Drosophila melanogaster: one gene and its partners. The protein of the gene in region 1 interacts with the protein of each later gene in a pairwise test. Each region holds a gene or a part of one and is shown in the gene's direction. Other genes may lie near its edges. The genes, in order: CG14634, Sox15 and CG34353.

The links.
Region 2: the proteins of CG14634 (region 1) and Sox15 interact in a two-hybrid assay, tested with the Drosophila melanogaster proteins (one large-scale study listed by BioGRID).
Region 3: the proteins of CG14634 (region 1) and CG34353 interact in a two-hybrid assay, tested with the Drosophila melanogaster proteins (one large-scale study listed by BioGRID).

What each region holds. Positions count from the first base shown.
Region 1 is NC_004354.4:860,474-863,725, forward strand, and holds CG14634 (uncharacterized protein), read left to right. Parts: upstream 1-2,134; 5' UTR 2,135-2,185; intron 2,186-2,262; 5' UTR 2,263-2,318; coding exon 2,319-2,600; 3' UTR 2,601-2,727; downstream 2,728-3,252.
Region 2 is NT_033778.4:14,210,231-14,213,989, reverse strand, and holds the start of Sox15 (Sox box protein 15), read left to right. Parts: upstream 1-1,576; 5' UTR 1,577-2,649; coding exon 2,650-2,702; intron 2,703-3,759.
Region 3 is NT_033777.3:27,904,113-27,907,871, reverse strand, and holds the start of CG34353 (uncharacterized protein), read left to right. Parts: upstream 1-2,028; 5' UTR 2,029-2,901; intron 2,902-3,759.

The sequences.
Region 1 (3,252 bases):
GAATTCTTGTTGTCAGGGTGCTTACCAGAAAAAAAAGGGGCGGGGGGGGGGGGGGTAAGGCTGGTGGGTGGTAAGTGGGTAGCAGGCCGGACAAAAAAGGAGATTGAAGCGCCGAGTGAGAATTGCAGATTGGCATAGAAACCGAAAAGCCCCGCAAAGTATGCTCTGCAAATTGAAAATGAAAATGGAACACCGTGAGTGGGCAGGGGTGGCTATCTGTCTATGTGGATATCTGGCCGGTATCCACCCACCACCCACTTTTGCACGCGTCTATTTTGTGGTTATGCGCTTGGCTTGTCACGAACCATGAAACCAGAGCCAACTACATGCGAAACATGCAAAAAATTTGGCAACAAAAAAAAAGCGGGTCCAAAGGAGATTATGGAACTAGCAGATACCCTATTCATAACCAATAGCTTGTGTAGCAAAGATTTAACCGGGTCCTGCTTTCTTCGCTATAACAAATTTATAGCGAAGTTTTAAGCTGGGCAAACTCTTTCCGAGCTTCCGGAAAAGATCACGTTTTTTCGTTCATCTCAAGTCGGAACAAGTCCCATCTCCATAAGCACCCCAAACACACACACACACATGCGCAGATAAACGAACACTGCAAATGGGAACTTCGAAATATACAGTTCTGAAACCGCAATGATGGGGTTGACCATGTGAGAAGGACGAGCCCCAATGCACAGTCCTAGAAATCCAGGGCCATGGGAACGAAACTCCCACCAGAACAGACACATCACTTTTAGAATTACACGAGTAACAATGCCAGTCAGTTCACCCCAACCCCCCCCCCCCCTTCCGTACGTTTTTCTGGTTTATTTTCCCCTTTTAGCCTTACTCTGCGTTTTTCCGTTATGGGCCTGCAAATGACATTGATATTTTTCCAGTTTGCCATATTCGCGAATTCGGGGAAATGCGGAAAAGTGAGTAGAGTAAACATTTAGATTGAAAAGGCTGTACTCTTGATATTAGAGATTCGCAACTTTTTTCACGGGATTTTGTGTACATTAAATTTATTTGGCTTAAGTCAAGAGAAACATGTGTATCGCTTCACTTAGAATGAAGTGAATTAAACAGGAAATCCGCTGTGACTTGTGTGACATCATGGCAACTGCTTTCCCTTTCGGCACTTTCACCAATTTCACCAATTACCCCGCATCCTGTGGGTTGTTATCGCCGTACAAATACTTTGCCCACGTAAATCATTCATAAAAGTATAAATGTAAAGCAAAGTAAAGGGGATGGGGTTGTTCTTTTCGGCTTTTGTATTCAGTTTCAACTTTCGTATAATTACAAAACTCATTAGTGCAGAAACTTTTTGGTCGTCGACCCTTGGAAAGTATGCACTGCTAATTGAAATTGAAGTTGTTAGAGACGGAGGACGCTGGTCGCAGCATTTTTGCCAAGTCGGATAAGCAAACAGACCCCAGCAGACCATAGAAAACTCACCCTCTCATCTGAGGAGCTGGCCATATAGAAGGTTCTCTGGACTTCTGGAGACCGTAGAACATGCTGTTGGTCTTTTAGCCCAAGCGCAGTGCCTTGAGGATCAGCGAATTTTTTTTCTAAATGCAGACCGTGGAGTGTCCCATTGCGGGGTCTCCGCTTGCCACCTCCCTTCGCAGAAGTTCAGCATCCGTTCAAATGAACACCTTCAGCCGAAGCAGGTGCTGGATGGCTTATGGCATTGCGCTGGCATTGGCATCGAAGATCTCCTCGCTACACGTCCATCTCGTCTTTCACAGCCACCATCATCGGCTTTGATGTGAGTGTCGCATGGCTCACTCTTTAAATTCAATACGAAACTGGTGTGAAACCCGCGCTCTGCGCCTGATTTGCATTCGCAAATTGGTAATACAATAGGTAGTCGTCGGCTGCCGTTTTTCCCTCCCCTCCAACCGCCGAAACCCGATAGTCCTGATAGCGTGCACTATATACTGATTGGAGTGCGGGGCATTTGTGAAATTAACATAAGTGACACCATTTTGCATAATGGGAGTCTCCGAAAACAATTGTTGGGGGGCACCAGTCTAGTCCGATTCCGGGGAACACAACTGTACCCACAACAAACCCGCCGGCTATAAAAGCAGACAGCTCTGGGTTGCACTGCCTCAGTGGGAAGCTCTCCTTTCAGCTAAAAGCTGCGGGCGGCACAACATAAATAAAAGGGCCCTAACAGGTGGGAACTAAACCATCAGGTGATGGGTAACTTGACTTTGGCCTGGAAATTCTTTTATTGACTGCTGACGAAATCAGCCTGGCACATTCCCCCATCTTCGGCACTTCTACTTATTATTTCTAGCCACAGAAATATGTGCTTTCTCTTCCCACTTGGCTGCTGCGGCTGCTCCTCATCGAAGCCTTGCCAAAAGAATGGAAAGCAGCGGCAAGTGCAGCACCAGCCGGACGTCCTGGGGAACGTGATATCCACGGAGCCAGGCTACTTCAACCAGGTGACCATCAGCCAGCCATCGCTACCCAGCATGAGCCCCAGTTCAGTGTCACTGCCCCACCGAATAGTCACGTCTAGCACCTTGAGCTCCTGGGACGGCGAAGTCTGGTGGCCCAAAAGGGACTCCATCGAGGATTACTAATCCATAGTATCTTAGCAGAATTGATTAGCGTATCGCTGCACTACATAAATGTACGACTTACAAAGATGTTTGTCAAAAACTCTTATATTTAATGAAACTACCGACTCTGTTTTTAGTTCTCACAAAGAGTGTACCTATTATTTCTTTTCTCTGGCCACAAAAACCAAAAGCACAAGAAGACAATTCTTTTTCGCCTCCGCGAGTCGCACGTAGCCCCTGTTGGAGTATGCATTTTTAAAATGAAATTACTCCACGTTTTGCGGGAGACAGAGGTAAAGGATTCTTGTGGTTAAGACTGTGTAATAAAAATTTGATTAGCTGCTTGTTTAACTTTAATTAAGTTGATTTCGCACACACACTGAACATAGGAAAGTTAATCAAATATTTAGCAGGACCTCTTTGCCGTTTTCCCGTACGAGTGCCGCAGGGTTAAATTCTGTTTGGGCTGGGCGTATATTAACATTTTGGCTAAGCAAACTGGCGCAAGCAAACAAACAAATGCCAGAATATTCATGATGATCATTAACACACAGGACGCACAGGACACACAGCAGAAGAGAGCTAGCTTCCAGGATATGCAGTCCAGGAGCAGCCTGTGACGCCTGCGAACAAATTTGCACAGCCTTCGGGCGGGAGTTTAAGGACCCGAATA
Region 2 (3,759 bases), on another chromosome or scaffold:
AATTATCGCGATGTGATAAACAAATATTTTGCATCTATGGCAAGAGGAAGCGAAGGCTTTCCCGGCATTCTGGCGCTTAATTATGAACTCCGGCTGGGCTTGGGGATGGAGGTAGCCCCATCCGAGTACGAGTTTATTATTATTAAATGCCCTGCGCGTGGCCGCATGCACTTTTACCTGCCAACGTACTTGACTCGTCTTCTGGGAGGTTCGTCGCTTTTCTACCTCCTCATCTTCATCTCGATTTTTTTGTGCCTTTGATTTTTTTTATTTTTTGGGCTTGGCTGTGCGGTTCGCTGGCAGCAGTTGTTGCAATATGCAATTTGGCTGCTTATCTCCAGTTGGATACCAATCAGCTTGGCCCCAAAAACTTTGGTGGGTGGAGAGTGAAATAAAAATTAAATATGGCTCTATTTGAATATTACAGCCGCTTTCAAGGCATTGGGCTCACTGGGCGGATACTTAATGGACAGTAAGATGGTATTAAGATAAGCATTTTCAACTGTGATCTATTCCATGATATATATTTTATTAAATATATAAGAACTTTGTTTTAATGTTAAGAGAGTTGGTATAGTTACTATTGAGTTGCTGATCAGAGAATGTATTAGTTTTTGTGTAGATTTATGAATATTGTATCTATGAGCTACTTTTTGATTTACATTCTGTTAAAATCTATTTGATAGTGAACAAGATAGTATGACTTACTACTAACAAATTGTTTTGTAAGTTTAAACTCTTTACAAACTGCCTGAAAATCCCTTTCATTCCCATTTAGTCACCTTTTGATTAATGACTTTCGTTGCTTTCCATTTGCTTAGAGATTGCCAATTTAAACATTTGCGAATCTTTCGCAAAATCTCTCTCTTTCTGAAAGACGGTGCCCCATTTGATCCAAATAACACCCTTTTCCCAGAGGTTCCGAACATTACGATATTTGCATACGCTGGCTTCCGTGTATGGGTGCTATCCCCCCATCCGCTAGTATATGCATGTGCACATACAGACGTACGGTTGTGTATATATGGACCCCAACGACATTGGGGGCCTCCACCAATTGAAACAAACCAAATGCAAAGTTGTCTCTCCCACAACAAACGGATCTCGGGGAACAGGTTTTACATTTCTGAAAGTGAGACCGAGAGATCGCGAGAGTCCGAAACAAAACGAAACGAACCGAACGAACGAACGAATGAATATTAAACAAGCTCTGTGTTTCATTAGATTCAAAAGAACTCGCCGCTGCTCTCGGTTCGGAGGCTATGGGTAAAGTATACTTGTCTATGGTACGGCATAGTCTGGGAGACAGGGCCAAGTCACCTGGGCTCGGACCAGAGCCACTTGCTCGTTCCGCATCGATGAACAGCTGCTGCTGCTGCCGCTGCCGCCACTCTCTGGCTGTTTCGATTCAAGACTGCGCGAAAGGTTCAGCTTATGGCTTTTCGCTTTTTGGCCTTATGCACGGGCTCTGAAGGCAGAGACACCTCAGTTCGGTTCACAATCTCCCAGCTCCCCAGCTGCCAGCCGCCAGCTCACAGTTCCCCCAGTTCGCGAGAGCGTCGATCGGTCGTCGAGTTCAGTTGGCCTGCGGTTCGTCATCAGCGTGGTTCATGCGGCTCCGACTTTCAGTTCGCCTTTAACTCTGACTCAAGCCCTGGCATCGGCGGAACTCGGTAGTGACTCTGGTGGCTCTCCATTGACATCGCCATCTGCGTCCCCGGGCTGTAATCATAAATATATATATATCTACATACAAACTGGCCCGCTGTACATAGGCCCAGTTAGTTAGTTTGTTAGTTAGTTAGTTAGTTACTTGCTTAGTAGTTGCTGTTGTGCCGTGAATTTTCATTTTCCCAAGAGCGCTATCCGCTGTTTGTATCTTGTGAAATGTCGAAGCCCTTGATTTTAGGCTACGGATACGTTCGTTAGTCAACCTTTAAACAGCTCGCTTTAGGGCCAAAAACTAATGAACAAGTGATTTTAAAGAACGTAGATCAATACCGGTAAAACTATGTAAAAAGTGACACAATCTGTTTAATAAAAAGTTTACATCGTTCCGGTGTTGAAAAGTATCTTTTCAACACCAAGTGCCAATCGAAAATCCAAATTTGAAGTGTGTATTTTTCAATATCTTCAAAATAATCACCAGTGAATAGTGAGATTCAAAAATATATTTACATCACTCGGTGATTGCGAAATTGTGGCCAAAATGTGGGTTAGGCTCTGAGCCACAAACAAAACAAAATCTGACAACAAATGGACGCAAATTCACACATGCCGTGGCACATAAATTTATGGTTGGAACTGTAACTGGGCAAAAATGCTCGGCCCGGCAGACATCAGTAGCAGTAGTAGTGGCACCACCATCACCACCAGCGAACCACCAACCGCCACCACCCACCAATCCACCCGAACCGCCGACAAAGGGAAAAACTAACGGAATAATGCAACATTAAGCAAAATGCTGCTGGCCCTGCTAAAGCAAAGCCAACAACAACAACAACAACACCAATTTCAACCTGCCACCACCGACGTCAGCAACAGCAAAAACAACAGCAACAACTACAACAACAGAAGCAACAACTGCAACTGCAACAACATCAACGTCACCGTCACCGTTACCACGAACATCGCCGTTGCCGTATAAAAATGGAACCCTCATATGATCACGAACATCCACATCATCTGCTAACAAATTACAAGTAATATTTACATTTTTCCCATGCTAAAATTTTTTTCTCGCTGTTTAATTATATCCAACCGAAGCGAAGATACATATCTTCAAGATAATAACCATAATGAAAAATGGAAAAGGCGCTCGTGTAGTGGTGAAGAAATTCTCTAGATCGTACATATATATATATATACAATAAATATGTATATACTTATATATATGGGGGCCCATGACTGCGACTTTTCAAGACTTAGTCACAATCACAGATACTAAGATACTAAGATACAAAGATACTAGCGGCGGGCACGACAGCGAGAAACACCGTCGGGGATGTCGAATGCACACTGTGGCAGTAAGCTACAACTATAAAGCACGGTTATATATGTATAAATATATATATATGGGGGTTATACAGTATATAGTATCTGGGAATTTGCTTAGATTTTCCTTGGTGTGGCCCCAGTTTTCAGACCCCGCAGCACTTGCACTTGTATTCGTATCCGCTTCTCGATTCTCTCCGTTTCCCTCGGCAAACGTAAACGTAAACGTAAATATGTAAATGGTCGACTGCGAATAACTTAAGAACCGTCTTCGGACGCGACTCGAAATTGGTCAAGTGGAAAGTAAACCAAGACGCCGGAGAAGTCGGCGGGGGTGGAGACCCTGGGAAAAAGCAGAGGCCAAGAACGCACAGGCGACGCACCGAGAAGAAGTCTTAACATTTGGTATATTTCGGCCAGAGGTCAGGCCATTATAAAGATTTGTATCCGATCTACACAGCTTGATAGATACGCATGAGGTTTTAATATCCATATATAAGTATATGACTGTATATAAGTATTTCCCCTTTATACGTATTAGCTAGCCATTTCAGCTGACTGACTTTCGTAGTTTCCGACGGGAAATTCCCGTCTACAAATTGGCTGGAATTATGAATGGAAATGAAGCCATGAAATTAAATTAAGTACAGATGAAAAGCTCTGATAAGTCCGCACACACTTTTCGTAAGAAATTCGAAACCGAAAATCACAATTAAGAATGTCTCATGGGCGAAAGCCTGTCGCATTTTTCGTCACATTTTCCAA
Region 3 (3,759 bases), on another chromosome or scaffold:
CAACAGCAGCAGAAGGAGCAGCAGCAAACCGATGAGCACTGTCCAAAAAAAAGGGGTTGATATTTTAAAATCTTGCACCGATGACCTGTCAAAAGCTATGAAAATAAATAAAATAAAATATATCTCTAGTACCTTGTTTAAGGACTAAGGACCTCTTTACAATAGCAAAGCAATCTTATGTTTGATGGCACAAACTATACAATCGTATTTTTGCGTAGTTTCTCTTTTCCCAATTTATACATTCCACTTAAAAAATACGTTTTTATTCTTATTTTGCTAAATCAAATTATAGTGCATATCTGACAATTTTGCTCTCTGCAGCGATTGAGACAACAAACGACAAAGCAGCGATGGCACGATGCGTATTTAGAATGATTTTGCCCGTGGGTTGCATGGGATGTGGTTTGCTTTTTCCACTGGTCCATGTCCCGTGTCCCGTGTCCCGGGACATGTCCAATGTACATCTCGATGGCATTCCGGCGCACTCGTCATTGGGGCGAAAAACAGAGGACTTTGCACGCCATTGAGCTGACGGCACTCCGGCGGAAGAAGGAAAAAAGGACGAAAGGCACACTTGCAAATCATAAAACAACAGACGCGAAGAAAATGTTTTTTAAATCTTCATAAATATTCATTATGGGAGCGGGGCATGGCAAATAGTTTGGGGCTGTCGGCGATGCTGGGAAACTGGGCCTGGACACTGGCCAGTCCTGGCGAGTCCTGGCGAGTCCTGCGACTCCTGGATAAACAAGGAGCTGGTAACCATTGGCACTCTGAAGCCGGCTAGTGGGCGGTAAGCTTCATTTCGCAGATGGCAGTACAAGAAGTTTGCCAGAAAACAAAAACAGAAATGGCCAAAATAACAATAAACTGGCTCGAGGAGCCTAAGTAAGAAAAGAAAATGAATTGGGGGCGCATTTCAAGTGTGTGTCGGCCTTGAAGCGTGAAGATGTGGCCCAAAACCGAGTCGAAGTTCATGTCCATGGCCAAAATGGCCAAAATGGGCAGAATGGCCAATGGAACGAGACGAGCAGCAGAAAAAAAGCAAACAACTATAAATAACACAGAACTCCGATGGACAGAAGGACGCACCACAAAGCTGTCAATTAGCAGAGTTTCTTACTTAATTTTGGAATTTTCAAATATTTGGGGGAAACAAGAAGTCCAAAATAAACATCATGGCGTGGTGAAGTTTTGAGGGTTTTGGAAGATGTTACCAGATGTAACACTACATATTTGTACACTAGGTTGCTGCTCAAAGTAATGAAAAGATAAACATTGTTCGTTTATGCCAATTGGTTTTGTTTATATTATAAAAATATTCTTATATTTTCTTTAAAGAAAACTTTAAAATATTAGAGTTATAAAAATATAGTTAACCAAACAGTTCGAGCTAAGAGAAAATATCCCTTTTTTATCAAGAGAACATTTCCCACTTAAAGTAAAGCTGCAGAAAGCTTTAAGCTTTCGTATCCTTAGATGCGATTTGAAAGCGGTATCTCATTTAAAATTAGGTTAACTAAAATGAACACAGTTAAAGACATTAAAGGATATCATAAATATTAAAATTGCTATGCATGAAAAAAAAACTTATAAAATAAATGCATACACCTGCATTATTATTTTAAACATAAGTAGTTCATTTTGTTAAAAACTGAAATAAAATATCTTACAAATGCTTAAAACTGGAACATAAGTACTACTATTCCTACTATCTCGCCGCGAATGGGTTCCATAAGCCGCCCACTATATTCTCTCTTTAGTTCTGCGGCGAGAAATTTTCTCTTCGCTTGTGGCACACATTCATTGCGATTGCGGCTGTCGAACGGCAGCAAACAAAAAGAGCAACAGCAACAACCACACGCGCCAGAAGAGGCTCTAATACCAATTACATTGTGCGGGTCGTTCGTAAACTCCCCCCTTCCCATCCTGTCGTGCTCGCTCGGCTAACTGTTGAATCAACGAGTGGTTGCCGACGTGCCATTCGTCCGTACTCGTGCGACCTACGACGAACGAATCGTACGGTCTTCAGTCCTATTCGAAACGCGATAGCAAACGGTTGTGTGCTCTCGTCCCACTGCCACCGAAAAAAAGGTGTTTAAATTGAATCTGCACAAGTTTAAGTCGAAAATCGAACTCGCGGTACTTTATAATTAATAGTGAATTGAATTGAAGTCACTGAGGAAACCGCTAGAGAGAAATCAACTCTAAAATACTTTGAAACAGAAGTGTTAGTAAAGTGAAAGTAAACAACTATCATTCTGAAACCAAACCAAACCTTCCGTAAGTTTTCGGGCTTTTTAAACCGGCAAACCAAATCGCGGTTCGGGATTTCGGTTATAAAAACTGCTCCTCTCGCGTCGTCCCTTTACCGTTTTTTGGCACCTACGCGCGCTCTCTCGCTTCGCCAAAAATTTTCCGCTCTCTCGCGAAATACCGTTGGGCCTACACCGCTGGGCAAGATTCTAGCACCATCAAACTGGCGCATACACATTGCCATAAATTGTGATTAACCACAACGCAACCGAAAGCGACAGCAAGACGAAGATTTTTAATTAAATTAAGAGTGAAAAATACCAGCAGCCGCAACAACGGCACCAAACGTAAACAATCAGCGCCGGCAAATTAAATATTTAAATATTTGCACTCGGAAAATTGTGCGGCATTTTAAATTAGGACTCCCAGGCGGTGCAGCATCGCTGGGCATACTAAAGTGACATATCCCGTGCTCCAGTGATCCCCAAACATAAGCAAACGCCATAGACGGTGTGTGTGCCAAGCCAAAACACAGCCATTAATAAAGCGAGGAAAGGCAAATAAACAATCGGGTCAAAGTGCTTAGTCAGGCTAAAAGAGCCAAAAATCCGACAGGAAACAATAATCCGGAAATTTTGGTGCGAGGTAAGTCCCCTTCACCTGTTGAAAGTGGAGTCATCCTTAATACAATTATTCATATGCACATCCGCATACATAGAGCGCTGCATTGACGAGTGGCATTAAGAAAAATAAGGCAATTGCACAATTTAATTGGAGTCATTGTTTTTGTTTCGCCGCTCTGGCTGCATTTTAAATGCCTGTGCTGCAATCATTCAGCTGCATAATTAATATAAAATAAAGCTATACGATTGCCTTTTTTTTTGTTTGCTTGTATTCCTTGTCGCTGCTTTATTGTTTGTATTTTTTAACAATTAATTAAAAATATGTATGATGTGTTTTCGCACTTCAATTGGCTGCGAGAATTCTATTTTATTTCGTTTTGTTTGCCAGTTTATCATTTTTTCCACCCATAAATCGCCGTTTTGCCATAGGCTTTGGCCATGGCCAATTGCAAATTGCAAAAGGTTTGAAACATTGTAAAAATGCAGTTTATATAGAAAACAATTATGCGCCAGTTGCAAAAACACCGAGCGGATCTGATTGAAATGGCATAAATCCAAAAGGAAAACCAAATCTCTCGATGTGACAATCACAGTTCGTTTACTCGCATAATATGCCAGTCGAGCTTAATCGATTGATATCCGTATAAATTATGAATGCTTGCTGATCATTTTGCGGTGGTAGGGCACATTGTTTTTTAAATCTGCTTTGAAATTCAATTGAAAAAAAAATGCATTAAAACTCATCATTGTCAATCCTATTTAAATGGGATTAACTTTGCCTAATACAATTGTCCAAAAGGACAAATTCATAAATAGCTGCAAATAGTTGAATACTACATATAAACATTCTCTATTTTGTATAAAACCTGGTTAGACTTTA